Medicago truncatula: one gene and its partner. The protein of the gene in region 2 interacts with the protein of the main gene of each other region in a pairwise test. Links are inferred from orthologs where the notes say so. Each region holds a gene or a part of one and is shown on either strand. Other genes may lie near its edges.

Region 1 (11,048 bases), on a different chromosome or scaffold from region 2:
GGAGAAACAAAACCCTAATTTTCTCAATTCCTTAACCTTTTATACTGCTGACAGGGTTTTCCATGTAACTAAATGATAGGCCTACGTGGAATGCCAGCAAGGACAAAGTTAACGTTTTTTGGCAAAAATTAACAGAAGGGACCAATTGAGTAAACAGAGGTATACTTAGGGGACCAATTTGAGACAATTTAAAGTTAGGGGACCAAATTGAAATGCAAAAATAAGTTAGGGGACCAAACCTTTAATTAAGCCATACAAAAATTAGTTAAATCTCATATGTGAACACTTCATGACTATAGGAATAATATTAACATTATAACAAAAACTTTATTCTTTAAAAAAAAAAATAGTGGAATATCCTGGATTCAAACTTCAGCGCCTACATATATTACGTAATAGCTAAGTTCACATAATACGTATACTTTGTCGAGATACTTATGCCAGAAAGAAAAAACTTGTGTTTTGACATAACACTCTTACTTTCAATTTTACACTTCACACAATTATTTTTAATAATTTTTAAGTTTCCTTCCGCTAATAAAAGCGAAAAATACATGGTGATGCTCATCTTCATGCTCATAATATTAATAATAATAAACAACTTAAAAAATAGTAATAATGTTTATACCCATAAACAAATATTTTTATAATAATGTTATATTGTTTTTTTGACAAGAATATTATATTATTGGTGTTATTAAGACACAAGAATTTATATTATTTGCAATATTGTTGGTATCATTGAATAAAAACGATCATGTTTGTTAGTTTGTTATAATTTGAAAGTCATTAATATTTATATTTATATTTTTAATTAAAATTAAAAATTTATAAAAAAACATCGTTCATAATTTACAAACGTTAACACAATAAAAGAAACGAAGATGATAATAATATAACAACAACAACAAACAGTTTATAATCTACACATGACTAAGTCTTTGAAACAAAAGAGCAAAGAATATCCAACACATATTTAGTGGAACCTACTCTAAAAAATAAGTTTCCATCATTAATATATATATATTAGAAATTGGATTTGACTCCAATTAATTACCTTTATATTAATTTTTTAATATAATTTTTAATTAGGGGCATGAAAATCATAATATTGTTTATATTCATGAAAAATTTATCGAAAGAAAATGTATACATCTATATTTGATTTTTCATACCTCTTGATCATTGAAAATGTAATTAATACACCCGTTGACGTCGTTACGACTGTCTTGTGTGGAGAAGTGATGTGTCTCGTGTGAAGAAGGAGGTCATCCATACTATTACTACTCTTGTCCAAACACGCTTAACTGCAGTGTTTTGATGGGATCTGATGTATTAGTATTGGATACGATCACCTTACAATTTCATGACCTTAGTTTTTGATGGAATCTAATGGATTAGTGCTGGATATCTCACACAAACATGGACTTTCAGTGACATTAGTGTTGATATCATCAACTTGCCAACATAAATGGAACTATCATATCTAGCCATATTGCAGTCGACTTCTTAATTATTACCTTTCCCTGATTGCACGTTGGTGGTGCATCTTTCATGATCACCAATCCATAATTGGGTGTTGGTGGCACAACTTCTTTCAATGATGAATAATCCTTCAGATCACACTCCCATGTTTGGGTGGCGCATTGAAAACCATTCTCCTTCTGCCCATTATGAAGCAGAGAAACCTAAGTAGAAGCTTTCATACTCTTTCATAAAAGTTCTTATTGCCATTAAATTGACCTCCAAACTTGGTTCAACCAGCTGTCGCTGAGGAAAATTGAAATTGTATGCCCTTTAAATTATAAAACTCTATTATTTAACTTATGGTTTTCCTCTTTTTATTTTTCAAAACTTGCTATCATATTCATATATAACTCCTGTAAAAAAAAAAAAAAAAAAAAAATTTCAGTGAACAACATAAGGTCTTGTTAACAACATGATCCCTAAAGAGTGTTCGGGACACTCGTTAACATTTTTCAACATAATATTATCTTTTGTTGACCCTTGCCCATCCATTCCTAAGTTAGTTTGGACTCGTTTGTAATCCTTATCATTCATTGATGTTAAACTGGTTGGCTTGAAAAAGTCGTTTACCTTGTTTGAATCATTAAGTTGGAATTTTGATGCGGTTCAATTTAAAATTGAAAACATAATAGATCTAGACTAATTTTAGTCAATCGTTGTCGTAGTTATATTTTAAACTCGTAGACTAGTATGTGTGAGTGTGTGTGTGTGTGTGTATATATATATTGGTTTAATTTATTATTGAAACCATAATAGATTTGAGAAAATAGGCAACTTGGTCATTGATTTTGTTCTCTAAATTTTAGAATAGAAAAATAGACCGTTAATTAGTTGTGTAAGTTTCTTCCCTCCATCAACTTTAGACGCTGCTCTTGATGACGTGCATGCTAAATATTGCACTACACTAGATTACAACACTATCGTTTAACTCCGTGCGTAATCAAACATAACATTTGAAATAAACGGATGGATGAAACTAGTTGATGCAGAAGCAGAACTAATTTACAGACAGATTGTGTTTTTTCAATAAAAACCTTGAACCGTGATTACAAATTTAGAGACTTAGTTGCCGATTCACTAGAATATATTTATACTTAATTTAAGTCATTTTTGCAGTCATTTTATATTATTATGTTTGAGGAACTTCAACTAGTTCAATACTTATTTTGTTGGGAAGATTGAGATGCCATGGAAACCATTTTCAAATAAAGATGGCGGATTGAAAATAGACTATTAGTATCAAACAAAGGTGGACAGCTTTTTGGAATTTTAAGTGAAAACACAAAACCGTAATAACTTTAAAAAGAAGGGAGGCAAGGCAAAACATATAATAGTTCAAATATCCAATTATTCAATTCAAAGCTCGTATTTTATTAAGTATTATTATCAATCCAACTTTGATAGCCGCGAAGTAAATTTTGAGAGCATAATCTGAATAGCATTCTGTAGTTATCACATCATGAACCCTCCTCTCCTTCTGAAAGTTAAAAAGACGAGGCAAATGAGAAAATTGGAAAACTAATGCCCAAAAAGAGAAATTTTATCACTAAACCAGACATAAAACATCCCTAGCCGATTAAATAAGAAATTTCAAAAGAACATGGACAAAAAAGACAACTTATCCAACACTCTGCGAAACAATTTCAGCTTATTGACTTTAGACACTAATAATTATGGTGGAAAGTAGGCTTTTATAAATCTAGAAAAGAAACAACAGAGTTACAAGTGGTCTAGCTTTTCAAAAGTTCCTTTCAGCCTTTAGGACTCAATTTAACCCACCAATGGCTCAGACAAGACACTCTCATGAAGTAGATAGTACATAAAAGATTGCTTCGATCTTCAGAACACTTATCACACATCATCATTGCAATCTGATTAAACAAAAGAGATCAGTATGTACCTTTATTATTAATTTATCCTACAAATTGAATCAGTTATGGATTTAAAGACAGGATTTAAGAAGTTAAGTCACACAAAATAGATGCATATACTCTTTCAAATAATCCAACATAACAGACACAGGAAATAAAATGAATTCAAGAGAAACTCTAACAAGAATGCCGGGTATTTGTTGAAGTTATAGTTTTAAGAAAAAGAAGGAGAAGAATAAGAAATAAAAGTAGGATTTTGAATATGACAAAAAATCCTACTATCATATCCAAAGTCCGGACAATTGTACCCAAGATGTATAAAATTTTGAACAATAAGATTGATAAAAACAGAGAAATATTTATTTCCTAAAACACAAAGTAAACTGAGAATCCAGCTTGATGATATTCTCACTAATCCAAGAGCAGATAAATTTGCTCTAAATTTATACAATAAATAGTGATATATATTATCTAGCATTTTTTCTTTATCAGATTTTGTTTTTGTTTAAAGTCCAACATCATAAGAGGTCCACGTCATCCCAACCTTGCTTCTTGATCTTCAAATAGTCTCTTTGCCTACATACAAAAGGAGCATGAATGGCTTCACTAAAGATTTAGTTGCTTGAGAGCAGGGAAAGCAGAAGACACAGGGAATAACTTAATCCATTAATCTTTGCTACAAGATTAATAATTATAGAAAGATACAGGTATATGAACCCCCTTTTTCCCAAAGATATGAATAATTATATTTCATGTATATATTTTGAACATGTTTCCTATTAACAATAGCAAGACTCCATTAAGTTTAACTCGATAATTCAAAAAATACACCACCTTACCCGAAAATTAAATTGAAGAAAGAACACAAGGAATCCTAGAGATGTTTACCTACCTAATTCAAAAGTAAAACCTATCCGTCAAGTAAAACCTAACTCAAATAGGTCTCTTGACGTTTTAATATTTCAAAAAGCTCCATGACTCTATCAAATTTTTCTCATATTACTAGTCCTTGCGACAACACGCTAAGGAACAAATTGATAGTAAGTAGTTAAATATAGGGACACAATTGATATTAAGCTGTTAAAATATATGGAACTTGTTAGTACGTTGTGAAAATATATGAATCTAACCAGGGACCAAATTGACGGTTTAACAGAGCTGGAGAATCTCAGGGATCTAATTGAGTGCACCCTACAAAGTCATGGACTAATTTAGCGGTTTACTCGATGATAATTGCATTAAAGTGGTAGTGTCAGACAATACCTTCAGGAAGCCATGCGTAGCTGCGTTGAGAAACAACTAACTTCGAAGTCATCAACGCCGAAGCAGTTGCCGAATGAAACGGCAACATAGATTCCATACAGAAGCTCAATTCAACAGGACACCTTCACACACAAACAATTCCACAAAAAATAAAAATAAAATCAAAATCAAAATCACTCATTTTCAGCTCATTAAATTAACCACATTAAAATTGAATTAACACTAAATTGAGCACTATAAGCATGTAAAAAACAACGATTAATTCGTAAAAATGCTACAAAAGGAGCAATAATAGTAGTGAATTACCTGAATGCGGATTGGGATATAGGTTTGTTCGAGGCGATTCGGAAAGGAGTGCGAGCTGATTTAGCTTCTGAAGCTAGACGGAAGGCGGAGCGGGAGATGGAGGAAGATCGAAAAATCGATCTCGCGGCGGTTCCGGCGACGGAGGCCATTTTCGTTATCGGAAAGTTTTTAGGGTTTGCGTAGGTTCTGCACAGGCAACGGTTTAGGATTCTACGAAACTTTGTAAAACCCTGCTTCAGTTGATGGACTCAAAAGTGAAAAATGGGCCTAAAAAAGTTTGGGGCTTAAACTTTGGTAGAATTGTTCTTTGAATTCTGCTCTTCACACAGCACTTTTCGCTCGCGCCATGCAATCATTCCAAAAATACCCCTTTGATAGTTAACTCACGTTAGGGAAAATGTGAATTTTCTTATTCATTTGGCAGCTAGTACTGCTTTATGTGTAATTGCTATATATGCTATACCATGCAGCAAGCAACCTTGTTCTATCCACTAGTTCATATTAGAGAATTTTATCTAGTATAAACACCTGTGATTATACCATGCAGCAAGCAACTCTCGGCTACTAATAGTGGTCGCCACCTAATCATAGGCTAATATAGCCATCTTTACATGTGTTGTTTGTCCAAAACTCCACCTCATCCATCTTCTTTTTCATTGAATGCAACTTGGCCAACTTTTGATTTTGGATTGAAATGCATTTTGGCTATGCAGCAATAAAAACGCGACTGTCCTTTTAGAATTATGAACTAGCGTGAGTTAACTCAAGCAGCGTTACTTAATTAGCGCATAGTTTTACATTTGCGTTATGGCTTAAATGCTCTTTTGGTCCCTTAACTATTTAATTGGTATCATTTTGGTCCCTTAACTAAAAAAAAGATTGTTTGAGGATTTTAAGTTTTTTTTTAGTCTCGTTTTGGTCCCTTCTGTTAGGTTTCCGTTAGGGTTTTAAAAAAAAAGTTAACTCCTGGACACGTGTCACCTTGTCATTGGCTCTGAGATTTTTTTTTTGTAAAAAAAAATTCTCAGAGCCAATGACAAGGTGACACGTGTCCACACTTAACGTTTTTTATTAAAACTAACGGAAACCTAACAGAAGGGACCAAAACGAGACTAAAAAAAAACTTAAAATCCTCAAACAATTTTTTTTTAGTTAAGGGACCAAAGCGATACCAATTAAATAGTTAAAGGACCAAAAGAGCATTTAAGCCTTTGCGTTATTTAACTAGTGCAAGGGTAAATTTGGAACGGCTGTAGGGCGTGAGTAAAATGTGCAGGGTGGAGAGCATAATTTTTGCTCTTCTCCCACCCATCTGTTTTTACTCATTCCTGCCCTACGTTAGTTAATTCACGTTGAAAAAATACAACTGCGTAAGTTAACTCACACTCGACTACTTTGATGGGGATGAATAAATACAGATGGAAGAAAAGCAATTATCAAAACTTTGACCTCTACAAAATAAAATGAGAGTTGTTTTTATCCTTAGTTGTTCAAACTTTTCCACACATCATATATTTATATTTATTTTTCAAACTAAGCCAAGATCATTGTTCAATTGTGGCTAAACTTTTAATCCAAAACTTATATTTTAAAATACTCAAATTTAAGTTTTTTGAAACATGTCTTTTGAGAATACTCAAATTTTGATGGAGCATATTTCTTTTCAAATGAGATGTGTGTTTCCTTTTTTGTTTTTTAAATCATTTGTTCTGGGAACAAGTTTTCAGTTCAGTATTTAAACTATCATTTTTTCTTTAAATTGTTTTTAATCAATTAATTAAATCTCTACTCTATAGATTCTTAAAATTTAAAATAATAGACGAGATAAAGGGTATTTTAGAGTTCCCGTGAGTATAACTCAGTTGGCAGGGACATGCATAATTATATGCAGGGAATGAGATTCGAACCCCAGACACCGCACTTATTCACCTTGAAAAAAAGTGAATTCTACTTGACAAAAAAAAAAAAAAAGGGTATTTTAGATATTTAAATGATTTTGTGGGGGGTAGGAAGCATAGTAGAGGGGTATAATAGAGAACTTTCTTCGTAAAACTAGACTCACATTTCGGGTCAAAACGATCCACGTGAAGAAAGAGTTCATCTTCTCGAACTTCACTGCCCTAATCGCAACATTTCCTCTTCATTTTACATGAATTTCCACTCATAACATTCTCGCTCAGTAACAATGGCGTTGTTATTCAAGGTACACTATTCAACTCTATTAGGTTTTCGCTATTTGATTCAATTATTTGATTTTGATTTCAATTTTTTCTTCTTTGCAAATGTTTTAGGATCCGGCGAAGATCTCGGCATACAGAGATAGAAGATTCCCTGGAAATCAAGAAGAATTTGAGCATGCGCTTAAAACTTCAACCACCGTTTACGTTGGGAACATGTCGTTTTACACTACGGAAGAGCAAATTTACGAGCTTTTTACACGAGCTGGTGAAATTAAGAAGATTATCATGGGTTTGGATAAGAACACCAAAACTCCATGTGGCTTTTGCTTCGTTTTGTAAGTTACAATTTCTGTTCAAACTTTACAAATACTAATGTAGTTATTTTAATTTCTAGGTATTAGCCTAGGCCCTTTTTGGATAAACAACTTAATTTATAGCATAAGCGCTTAGGCCCTGTTTGGCGAAGAAATAGCAAATAGCTGATAAATTAGCTTTTAGCGGACGAACTTATAGAGATAATTTAGCTGATTGAACTTGCACTGTTTGGTAAAATTAATGTTTGAACTAACTTAAAAATATGAACTGACTTAAAGGTGATATATTTATAAATATGAAATGACATAAAAGTGATATATTTAATGAATATTTAAATTTTTTCAATTAAGATTACAAGGATGAAATTGAGATAAACAATGAAAGGTATAATATACTTGGATTAGCTTGTCATTTTTTTTTGAAGAAGACTTGGATTAGCTTATCATAAAACGCTATAAGCTAGTAAAATTAAGCTATAAGCTTGTGAGAAAGTGACAGTTACCAAACAGGTCTTTTTCATCCAATTAAGCTTATAAGACATAAGCTATTAAGCTCAAAATTATGTATTACTACCAAACAAACCCTAATTATGAAATGGCACATGTTTAATTAATATTTATTTTGTTTCAAGTAAATGACGGGTAAAAGTGAGAGTAAATGATAAGCTTTAAGCTATAAGCTCTTGAGAAAAAAATGTAAGCAAATGGTTCTTTCTTAACCATATGACCTTATAAGCTGTAAGCTCAAAATTTGGCATTGGCAAACAGAGCCTTATTCTAAGCTATTTCCTTAAATAAGCTAAAATAAGTCAGGCTGTTTTCCTGGAGAGCTTATGGAAATAAGTTGAAAACAGATTATTAACATGTCATAAGCTGGTTTAATAAGTTCTCCCAAACATTTTCACAAGTGATGATGCTAGTTGATAAAGCTCAAATAAACAAATCCAAACAGACCATTAATTTATACAAAAATGATAGTATCATACCTTGCATAGAATGTGAGTGAAACGGAGAGTGATAGAGTGATTGTGTTTAGTTATACTCCCTCCATTTCAAAATGAGTGTCGTTTTAGCCAAAAAAAATTGTTTCAAAATGAATGTCGTTTTCAACTTTCAATGAACAATTGATTTTTCTTTTCCATCTTTGCCCCTCATTAAAATAAGTACTTTAAGAAGTTAGTAACATGTGCTGGTGTCAACTTCTTTTGGGAAAAGTGAAATACATATGGGAAAAGTGCTAAACACCCATTTTAATTGGCTTAATGATACATCTTCCATTGAAAACGTGAAATACATATGGAAAATAGTAAGGCTATTTTAGTAAAATTGCTATGACATTTGACCACTTTATTCCTTTCCTTAATCTGTGTGCAATTGGCTAAAACGATACTCATTTTGAAATGGAGGGAGTAGAAAAACGTGTGAGAAGAAAGGAACTATAGATTGTATCTATTTGAATTGAATAGTGTAGTTGGTGATAATGCATTGTTAATTTATTGGCTATTGAATAAATAACGTAGTACTGATTGATGGTTTTGGGTATGTATTTAACTGAGTACCGATTGATGATTTTGGGTATGTATTTAATTGTTATTGTTACTAGATATTACTCTCGTGAAGATACTGAGGATGCTTGCAAATATATAAGTGGGACTATACTGGATGATCGCCCTATTCGTGTTGATTTTGACTGGGGATTCCAGGATGGAAGACAGTGGGGTCGCGGTCGTAGTGGCGGCCAGGTGAACAACTTTAGTGCATCTAAGTGTGTATATTTTAAATTAGTAGTCGAAGCCCATGTTTACCTGGACAATTTGATTATTTTTTGTTGTATTTTTACAAATTTTTGTTTTCAGCATTTACACCATCAGAAAAGAGAATAACTTAATGCTTCACAAATTTTTTGCTTAGAGTGAATATTTTAAACTAGTTGTCGAGTCTATAGTTTACCTAGACAATTTGGTTATTTTTAGTTGCATTTTACAAATTACTGTTTTCACTTTTCAGCATTTACACCATTAGAAAACAGAATTAACACAATGGTTACAACAAACTACAACCAAACCTTATCCTATTAAGTAGGGTTGGCTACATGGATCAAATAACACCATAATGTTATACATTCTATTTCAACTCATTATATTCTGACGTAATGTTCTGTCACATTTCAGTGCTTTACATAAACAATGTTATTTTCTTCTTATCACAATGACTCATCCTAATTTTTAAAATATCAATTATCTTGGACTCTTGCTTGAAGAGTTGTTTTTTCATTTTCTTTTCAACATACAAATTTTATATATTCTACAATAACCGTGTAGTATCCCATAGTTTTTAAGATTTATCAGCTTCCATATCCCAATGTTGTATTGTGTTATATGTTTTCCAGTTCTTATGGCTTTGTTTTCTAAGGTTGCTTTAGTTCTTGGCTGATATTTTCCGGTGCTGTTAATTTTTGCAGGTGCGTGATGAATATCGCACTGATTATGATCCAGATATCCTTTTTACTGTTTTTCATAAATTTATCTGTTATTGCCTTCATTTGTGATTCTTATTATTTTAGAATGAACTTCACATTTGATCAAGGACATCCCTACATGTTCAAACAAATAAATTTATTAGATCCACTATGATTTTACCTGGTCTAGTTGAAATTGAATAATGTATATTCCCATACCTTCACTTGATCTTGAACAAGAAATTTGACATCAAAATTACTTCAGAAAATACTCGCTTGCACTAGTATCTGTATTTCTACTAGTCTCCTTTTGTTTCCTTAATTCTACATACGTAGGGGTGGATATGGAAAGTTGGTTCAGAAAGAGTTAGAAGTACAAAGGCATCTTGTAGACTACGGCACTGGTTCTTTGGGATCTTTTCCGCCAGTTATTCCATCTTCGTGTAAGTTACTGTTTTATTTTATATGGATCTTCAGCTGCTCGTAGCAACCCTGGCTCAACATTTTACTTGTTTTTGATAACAAAATTTGATCAATGTATTTTTATTTTATTACTTTTTTAGTTTTCAGATTTGCAAATTATGTGGCTACTTATTAACCTACTTGATTTTTATTGAATGATAAGTAACAACACTGACTTGAAAGGACATCGAATTATGGACTACTCTCATTGCTTCATTAGCCCATACTTCTGTTTACATTGTTAGTTGAGCATAGCACTGTCTCTGTGTAAATATGCAATACACGAGGCAGCCTCCAACGATGTGCACTCTTTCAGTTAGCCTGTCCTCTCCTGCATCCTATTTATTGTGCAGTATGAATAATAATGCAAAGTGATGCCTTCAATAGCAAATACCGCCATAGCGTTTAGGGTTTAAATATATTTTCCTAATGGTTAAAATTCAAAGACAGTTTCTATCACTTAAATATTCTTAGACTTTATTATAATCTCCATACTGTATGCTAGGCTGAAGTATCCACATCTGTTGGTCTTATGAACTACGCACCAGCCTCTCATTGTTTTTTTTTTTGTTTGCCTTTTTTCAACTATCTAACATCCTGTTACATTTTATAATTTGTGGTAGTTCTCTATCATTTATTCTCTGCAAATTTAACGGTTCAGCAATTT
Region 2 (10,319 bases):
AAGACTAAAACACCTTTGAAAAGTGAATCACCATAAGCAAAACTCCCACTAATTTCATATCATTAATGACTAAATCAGAGTTGCCAATAATCCACAAAATAAAAAATAATCAGAATTGTCAATCAAGCCAATGGTGGCAGGCCAAAATGCACCGGAGTATTTTTGGATGAAGCGAAGAAAAGATGTCAATTTCGTATTATAAAAAATTAATGAAAATAAACATGGTAGTAATTGATTGTCACAATTAAAACATTCAGTTCACTGCAAGAAAAATGTAATACTCCTTCATGCAAAAATTAACTCATTATATGGCCTTTAATTTTGTCTAACTGGATCCTCGTCTTTGTATTGTTTTTTGTGGCTATTAGTAACATTAGTTAGTTTGAGCTATATGCTCCTATTTCTTAGTTGAATGGTCCATAGTCTCATATTTAAGAAAATAAATTTGAAGAACATTCAACAGCTTAAAGTTGTGCCCTTAATACGTGATGATTCCTGACACCACTACACCAGACATCACTACACCAGTCTCCCATTATTTACCACCTTCCAGGAATTGAAGTGCAAATGCAGTGGCCATAGTTAAAATATGAAATTACTAATGACAATATCACATGAAACTTGTTAAAGAGTCTCACATCGGATAAGAGTATGGCCTGAACAAGTGTTTATAAGTGGGGGCGGTCCTCACCTCACAAGCCGGATTTGTGGGGTTGTGTAGGCCCAACCAAAAATTCTAAGATGGTATCCAAGTCTCCTCCAAGACCTATCGGGTCACCTTCTATCAGGTTTTCGCTATCGGGTCACCCACCATATATATCCACGCACCAAGCCCAATAGTGTTGGGCATATGGGTCCCACATCGGATAAGTGATGGCATGCACAAGTGTTTATAAGTGGGGGCAGTCCTCACCTCACAAGGTTTTGTGGGTTTGTGTTAGGCCTAACTACAAATTCTATGAAAACTAATAAACTTTATTTCGTTAATAATTTGGATGGTATGATGACTAAACATGATTTTGATGAGCTTTGTGGCTATTCAAGTGCAGTTTGAGAGAGTAGGGAACCTACTTCACTTAGTCAAGACAACCTTAGCATGTGAAATAGGCAATGAGTGTTTTGGGTGAAGTAAATGGTTTTTGTATCACAGACATGGTCACAACACAAACACTCCAAAAGTTGCACGCCCGTTGAATGCAAAGGAGCGAAAATGAGATTCCAACTTCGCTTGTGGCAGGTGGTATGGCACCTCAATGGACAACCCATCATACCCACTCCTAGTCCTAAATATTTTTATAGCATATAGTATCAAACCTGCCATGTCATACACCTGCGACCAACGTTGGCCGTTTTGGATTAAATGGTGACAACCTCTGCTCCTAACTTGATCAAACATTAACAAATATGAAACCTTAAAAAAAATCAATAAAAGTAGCTTTCCGAATCAAATACTAAACAATCCATTTGGCAAGCAGTCTACATAGTTGTCAAAACTGAAGGAAAAAAAAACTACATTTAAATTTCAAATTCTAATATGCAACCTAAGGTTAAGAATTATTAACTAATGTTAAACGAATTATAGTAGCCTCAGTGGCTTAATCACTAACCTGAAATTTAGATCGAGTTTGCTCCACTAGTCTTTTCACAAAGTCCTCATTTTCCAAGTTTATCAGGCCAATCTGAATAAAATGTATAAGTAGGAAACGTAGGAAGCTCAGAAACTAAATTTTGAATTTGGAAACTACTCGAGATGTACAAGGAAATTCATAATACATAATTGGGATGGTAAGTAGATGTGAAAAAAATAGAAGATACAGAATTGGAAACAGGATAATTACAGTAAACCGATAGAAATATTTGGCATTTGTTGCAAAATGCATCAAATAATGGTAGAATATAACTCGAAAAGCGAAAAAATGTGACAAACTATGTTGCTTCTTCTACTATATCACGTCATTATAAAATTTTAAAAGCTTTTTGTTTTTCAAAAACCTGCAGGTTATATGCACTCCAACTTTGAAAGGCACGTCCATTAGATATTATACACATATTTTGTGAAACAAATCCATCATGACGCAGGGAACATAATAAAATTTAACTAAAATGTGGTCTTAAGTGATAAAATAATAGAAAATATGAACAATGGATCTTTAAATAAATTTATTTAACCATATAAATATATATAAGCTATAGCAGTGATTCCTATGTTTGTTTCAATTTTAAAGGACAATTGACATTCGCAGAGCAGCCAAGTAACAAACTTGTGCAATATAAAATTGATTAGGTTTGCAATTGAAAATTAATTAGTACATGGAAAAGGTGGGAAAGTTAGCACATTTGGTTGATCAGATAAACTACCATATACCATAACGACAATTTCTGATGTAAATCATCCCCAAAATAACTAGATAGACTTCCACTGTCATAACTTAGTGGTGACCAATTTCTCATACTGATTAATCAAATTAGTACAGTATGTTCACACATATAAATCAACCTCGAAAACACACACACGCACACACAAACACACATACCCACTAATAATAAATAATAAGAGCATCTTGTATCTAAGAAACATACATGAACACTTACATACATGTCCTACTATGAAACATGCATGAACGCTTACATACATGTCCTAATTCAGAAAAAATATTAGAACATACAGTGAAGTGAATAATGCAGGTCATTTGCAGTTCAAGAGAGATAAAGAGAGAAGTAAATCTCTACCAGGGTTCCATAGAAAGGAATCTTGTGAGGCAATTGCTCAGCACATGTAAGAAGGAACTGCATGAAGACAATAAAGTAAACATGTCATGATACCAAACATTGAAGTGTCATGTCGTGACGAAGAAAAAAAAAAAGACGATAGATAAAAATTTATAAGGCACACTAGACACCGTCAAAATATGGAATGCATCGCACACTGAACATATGATAGCAAAATAAAAAATAATGAATACTTTAATTTGAAAATAGAGAAAAATACAGAAAGACAACTAGAAAGTCCTTATACAACCTGCCACATATTATAGTTCTACATTTTAATCGAGCTTCAATGTTCATACATATTTCAGAAGCAAATAAGTATGTTCATTGCATGTTTGGAATAACGGTGGATCGACCAAATCAAGGTGGCACGGCCACTTTGTTGAAGCTTGAAAACTGTAGCTTTTGCAAAAACACTGTAGCTTGTCATGATTCTGCCAAACTCACTTGTGAATCCAAACATGCACCAACTCGTGATTGTATTTTCCCCAACAGAGAAAATGGATCAAGGGTGTTTGGTTTCACATTTAATTTAGATGCCTTGGAAGTATTTTTCAAAGTGCCAGAAGCAATTCTAACTCTAAAATTATGTTTAGCTTGATTCTAACACACAAATTTATAATTCAACTCACTTTTACATAAATGTATTAAAACACAAATCACTTTACATGCAACTTTAGCAAGAATCAATTCACTCAGAATCAATTCTTGTCAAAAATTGTGACACACTTATAAAACACAAATCAAAGCTAGTTGTAAGTAGATGACAAAATCAATTATCAAGGAAGCGCTTATTTGAAGCAGTCAAAAATTGTGATACACTTATAAAAAGAAGAGGCAAATTAAAAACGTTTGAATTGTTGAAGCAACAATAAGCATCAGAAATGGAGTACTTACCTCCAAAATCTCAGTTTGAGAGTTGTCGAGCTCACGACGAAGGACACCAAAACAGGTTTCCTGAAAAATTATGAAAAAAACGCGTTAGGAGAATCAAATAATCGAATTGAAGAATAAGTTGAGCGGAAAAGGCGAAAGAGAGAAGAAGAAAGCGAACAATGTGATCTTTGAAGTCGGAGGAAGTTCCATATTCGGGACTCTTATCACCGATCCGTAGAATGAGGCTTCTCCAACCATTCATCGTTGACGAAGAAGAAGAAGGTGTTTGCAGAGTGAAGGAGTCGTTTGTAGGGTTTTATATATAGATCGAAAACCCTATTTCACCTTCAACGGCTGAACCCTAACAAATTACCTAAACTAAACCAACGCTGGTGTAGTGTGCCGGTACTGTTCAGTGTCCTCTTTCACTTTTAGATAGATTTTGTAGTCATTCAATTCAGATTTTCATTTCATTCAAAATATTTTATATTCCTTACAAAAAAAAAATAATAATAATAAATGAGTAAACTATCAAATTGGTATATGTCTTTATAGATCATTGTCAAATTAATTTTTGACTCCGTTAATGTTTCAATTTGGTCACTTGTCGAGATTGACAGAATCGCTTAAATGCACTATTTATTTAGTATTATTTTTTTTACTAAACATTTAGTATAAATTGATAATAAGAAGTAAATTTAAAATGTGTATTTATTCGAATATCAAAAATAAGAAAAAATTAGATTCTATATATTTAGTCTTTGTCGAAAGTTTTTCAAGTAAGTCTCTTGTTATGTGAAGAAAAAAAATTAATCGTGAAACTTTTGACAATATTTTAAAATAATTTGTATATTTGTTAAAAGTTTCTCAATTAAATCATTCATCGTGTGACAAAAACATAGAGACAATGATCTAATTGAAAAACTTTTGACAAAGATATAGATTGTTTTAAAATATTACTAGAGTCATCACTAATTTGATAATGACCTTGAAAAGAGGACCAAATTGGTAGTTTAAAAAAATGCATGAAAAAAACCACATTTGATAAGAATGTATTTAGAAACAAATAGAATAGAACCAGCGGCGTTTTAAAATTGAATCGTTTAAATAGAAAAATTACAAACTAAACTAAGATAAATCGAAATCGCAAAAAACCACATTTGATAAGAATGTATTTAATCATTTTTTTATTCAACAACATGTTTTGGTTTGGTTTACGATTTTTATTTTACAAATCAAATTAAATCAAACCGCAACTTAAGAAAAACATTAATTAAACATATGTCACCTAGATCAATATTCATAATAACTCGATTTTTTTTTTTATAAAACGACGTCAATCTTAAAGAAGAATCGGAGGTATTTGACTAATTTAATTTTTTAAGGAATTAAATATAATTTTTAAGGCACGAGTAGTTTTGTCATTTATATATAATTGGTCAAATACCTCTTATTGTTTTTTAAGTTTGATGTCTCTAATAAGTTGGTCATTTAATCTTTTTTTGTTATAAATTAGCTTTTTAAGTTTTTCTTTGTTAAAAGTGGGTTCTTTAAGCTATAATACATTGTTACCCATTTTTACGGTCAACTTCATTTTTTTTATAAAACAACCAACTTCGTTAAAAAAAAATTTATGAACAACTTAATATTTAGGTGGTAGGTTCGAAGATATTTATGACATTTAATATGATTACTTATGCACATTTTTTTTTCTTATTTTTGTATTTAAATCTAGTTTTACACATAAATATTCCATCAACTGTATTATAAATCCAGTAAACAAGCAATTTTTTTTCAAATCAAGATTGAATAGTACGCATATGAACTCTAGTTTTGAGAACGGTGAATTCGGACATACCAACTTAAATTAAATCTCCACATAAACACTTTTTAATCGAATTTGATAAAAATATGATGATGATGCACATGTTTTATGACTTAAATGACCAATTTCTAACAAAAAAAAACTTAAAGGAGTAACTTGCAACGAACATATAACTTAAAGGACCGCATATGGTATTTATATCATATATTTATTTATCGTGTCCCAAAATATAATACAGTTATTTATTCATTTATGTTTTTTTTCAAAAAGTATTAATATTGTTTATTAAGTAGCGTTGATGAATTTAAATGTATATATATAATTACTTAATTTTCTTTTAGCATTTTTTATTATTTTATAAAATTTAATTAATTTTGAAAATTTATTCATAATTGTTTCAAAAAATAATCTCGCTATTTTACTGCGCTAATGTTTGAAAATTATGAACGGTTGTTTTTATGAAATTTTAATTTTGATTAATAATAAAAATATAAATGTTTTTTGCTTTCAAGTTATAATAAATCAAACTAACCATGATTATCAATTTCAATGACAGCAACAATATAACAAAACAATATAATTTGAATTCTTTTTTTTTAATAACACCAACACCGATCGTTATGATGGAAAGGGTTGTTTAAAGGTATAATTGAGATAATGAAAAAGTAAGTATAGATATCCTCATCTAATTTGTTACATTTTTCATATCGTGTTTGTTATACTTTTATTTTAATATTTGAATTTACCCTTATCTGTTTATTATATGTGTTAGTTGTTTTGAAACTTAAGGGTAATTTTGAAAGGAAAAAAATCAGCTCAAAAGAGTCAAAATATGATATTTTCTTTATATCAATAGTGTATATATATAAAGATAAATAATAATAATTTTTTGCGATTTTTCTCTCCTACGGTTTCACTCATCGCCCCTTGTGAGAGTCTGTTTTGTCGATTAGATTGATTTTCAATCTTAATCGTGTTCTTTTCTTGTTTTTTCACATGTTGATGGATGATTTAAGCCAACAACGTAATCACATGGTCTGATACTTTACCGCCGTATTGTTTTTTTCACATCGCTTGTTTTGTCAATATTGCAACATAAAACCAGTACACCATTGTGACATTAACAAGTGTAACATACACCAGTTTTTAAAAATAAACCAGAAAAGCAAGTCTCATATTTCAAAAATTAAAGTTTAGAAGAATTTGTAAATGTCACACAAACTTTAATTTTCCTCAATGAGTAGTAGACTATTCAAAAAGCTGATATTAAACATTATCGAACTATTAGAAAAGTTGAGATTAAAATTGAGTAACAAAAAAAAGATCAATTCAAAGATAATGAATTAATAAAACTCATAAGGCATTGAGTAAAGTAAAACTCGTAAAGGATGTTTTAGAACCGAATCCGACCCGTTCTCAGCCCTATCATAGTCTCATAAAAAAAAGGCTTAAATATGTATTTGATCCTTGCAATTAGGGGTCGTTTAAAAACTGGTCCCTGTATTCGCTAATCCTTGCAAACTAGTCTTGCAATCATTTAAAATTTCGTCATTTGACCAACTTAATCACTGCCACACATGAAATTCCATTTTTGCCCTTAAGAAGAGGACAAGATATTGAAGAAAGAATTGGAAACTCAGGGGTAGAATTGGAATTTCATGTGGCGTGGCAGTGATTAAGTGGGGAGAGGGACGAAATTTTCAATGATTAAACAATGCAAGGGTAAATTGCCAGGATTAGCGATTACAGGGACCAATTTTTAAACGACTCCTAATTGCAAGGATCAAATACATATTTAAGCATAAAAAAAATACAATGGAGTTTTAACACTTATGTCTTTGTCAATATGTATATTCTTCATCACAAAAACTACAACAATAACGAAAACTATAACTAATATCAATTCTAAAATCCTTAGAAAACATGACATGGTTTCATTATTGTCTTCATAATTGAAATTTGAACAAAATTAACTACAGGATACTCAAAGTATTTCATTAGATGTTGTATACCATAAGATGCAAGTGATGGTGTGATAAGAATGTCCAATTTCGTAATCAAAACATCACAAAGAGTCAAATGTGAGAAGGATCTATGTGTTAATACTATAAACTTGCTGGACATGATGGTTGGGATTAGAGAGTTATCAACAAACTCTGGTAGCGTCAAAGATGGAAGCTTCATTGGTACGACGTGGAACACAAGAAGAAAGTGATTGGCGAGCACAAATTCATTATAGTCTTTGAAGGGAAAAAGTAATGTCATTGGAGAGAGGAGCAACCAAATAGAAGAATCAATAAGGAGAGGTGCAATCAATCAGAAGAAAAAACAAGGAGAATTCAAATGCAATCAATTAGAAAAATAAATAAGGAGAAGTGCAATCAATCAGAAGAATTAACAAGGAGAAGTGCAATGCAAACATTCAGAAGAGTCAATAGAGGGAAGTGCAATCAATAAGAATCAATAGGAAGAAATGTAATGCAATTTGTAACACCCTGTTTTCCCAACTTAAAAATTTCACATATAAATCAGAGTATTTCAACATAAACGGAGTGTCACACTTCTTTTCATAAAATCATAAACGGAATAAAATAACTATTTATCCTTCAAAATTCAACGTCATAATATTTATTACTTCGCAGCGGAAATTATTCAACTTGTAAACAACTTTGGCACAAGGGCCTCAACATAAAATCTCTTAAAATTCTTCCAACAACATGTTCATGATAATTCATAAAATAATACGTAAGGAATAGAAAGCAACAACAAAATCTCATCCCATTACGTATCAGAGCACCTAAGACACACGAGAGAGAAATCTCACACGAAATCAACTATTCTTGGTTACCTGCAAGTTACCCATGGTGGGCAACATTTCCAAGCAGAAAGGGTGAGATTTCACATTCAATAATAATAAGCATATAATTCATCAAAAGCATTTAACAACTTAAACATCATCAATTAATAATAATAATTCTTCATATAGTACTTCATTAATAGCTCAATCAACTTCTAGTCCTCATTAATATCATATTCACCACATCATATACATTCATCATATAACAACATAAACAACACAACATAAATATCGTCTCATAACGACATAAACGACACATCATAAAGATCATCTTATAACAACATAAACAACGCATCATAAAGATCATCTTATAACAACATAACATGACATCATAAAAATCATCGCATAACAACATAATCATCACTTCATAAAAATCATCGCTTAACAATATCATAACAACATCATATAGCATCATAACAACATCATAATCAACATCATATACCATCATAATAGCATCATATAATCAACATCGTAAACAACATCATAACATTATAATCAATATCATAAACAACATCATAATAACATAACAACATCATAATCAACATCATATAGCTTCATAACATCGTATAATCTTCATAAGCACTTCATTAACAACACATGGGTAGAAGACAACTCAACAACTTAACGACTCATGGATGACAACTCATCAACAACGACTTTGACTCAACAATGCAACTTCAACTTCTTAATCATGCATGTGGTACCAATCCAGGGAATCAAGCCCCCAACGTATTGAGCGTAAATAGGCTCCCAGGGCATCAAGCCCTCAACTTATCTGAGCATTAATATACTCCCAGGGCATCAAGCCCCAACGTGTTGAGCAAAGGCTCCAGGGCATCAAGCCCTCAACTTAAATAAATATGCATAGACTCAACAACTTACAACCTGGACAACATCAACAACTTAAGACTCCAATACTTTGGAACGACAACTTACAACTTAGACAACATCGACAACTTAAGACTCCAATACTTTGGAACGACAACTTGCAACTTTACAACTTAGACCACCACCTGCAACTTGATCAATATTCAACAGCAACAGAAACAACACAAGCAATTCACAACATAACAATATTAATGAAAAGTATCAACAATTTAAACATCATACATTTTCCACATAAGGCGTATAAATATTTCACATAACCAACAACAACAACATAGGCAACACGTAAACATCTCAAGATATAACAACATCAAATGATAATCAACATCAACTTAAAGATCTTATATAATTCACATAATGCATATACAAATATATTACATTACTATCAACATTAAATCATATTCATCAACATATACATAAAAATCATCAATCATGAACAACATTATTTCTATATCATACAATATTCACATAATATATGTATCTCAAATTATTCAACAAATATATTCACGTCCAACCAAATTAGATCCATCACAACACATGTTAAATACTCTTAAACCCCTTAATTAAACTCCTAGTACTTATAGTTTTGAGGTTTGAAATTATTCCATAAGTTTTGGATTAACTTATAAACGGTTATGCTGTATTTTCATAAAATTTCATTAAGACCTACTTGGAGTATTTTCATCATATCTCAAGAACCAAAAATCATTTTCATGTCAAACCAAAGTCACTGGAAAACTAACTCAATTATCTACAACTTTCATGTTTACACCAAAGGCCAATTCAAAACAGAAATGTGTGAAAAAGACGCAAGAACATGAAACAAGACATGCTGTCAGAGAGCAACTCGGGAAAAACCCATTTTTTTACCCCAAAATTCGAATTTTAACTTCTCTATGCACAAATTTGATCCAAAAACTTGTCTAACCATTTCTATACATGTTAAGGCACTCAAAACCACATAAAAGATGACCCAAAATATTATTTTACAAAACTCACATTTTTCATAAAAGTTCTCAAGAATAACAAAAGTTCACTTCAAGCTCTGTGGTTAAGATTACCCAAGGTTTCAATCATATAATCAACAATTCATCACTTTTAACCCTA

The links.
Region 1: the proteins of nuclear cap-binding protein subunit 1 (region 2) and nuclear cap-binding protein subunit 2 interact in binary tests that used the Arabidopsis thaliana proteins (3 or more experiments, as listed by UniProt). The link is inferred for Medicago truncatula from reciprocal best matches to the Arabidopsis thaliana genes ABH1 and CBP20.

Annotation. Positions count from the first base shown.
Region 1 is NC_053043.1:44,904,924-44,915,971, forward strand, and holds the start of nuclear cap-binding protein subunit 2, read left to right. Parts: upstream 1-7,008; 5' UTR 7,009-7,152; coding exon 7,153-7,170; intron 7,171-7,258; coding exon 7,259-7,482; intron 7,483-9,064; coding exon 9,065-9,203; intron 9,204-9,922; coding exon 9,923-9,956; intron 9,957-10,251; coding exon 10,252-10,362; intron 10,363-11,048. Other genes in the region: protein NUCLEAR FUSION DEFECTIVE 6, mitochondrial, read right to left, coding at 4,567-4,589, 4,662-4,783, 4,968-5,116.
Region 2 is NC_053048.1:39,055,385-39,065,703, forward strand, and holds the start of nuclear cap-binding protein subunit 1, read right to left. Parts: upstream 4,082-10,319; 5' UTR 3,908-4,081; coding exon 3,824-3,907; intron 3,727-3,823; coding exon 3,667-3,726; intron 2,788-3,666; coding exon 2,731-2,787; intron 1,680-2,730; coding exon 1,608-1,679; intron 1-1,607. UniProt on the Arabidopsis thaliana protein: Component of the cap-binding complex (CBC), which binds cotranscriptionally to the 5'-cap of pre-mRNAs and is involved in various processes such as pre-mRNA splicing and RNA-mediated gene silencing (RNAi) by microRNAs (miRNAs).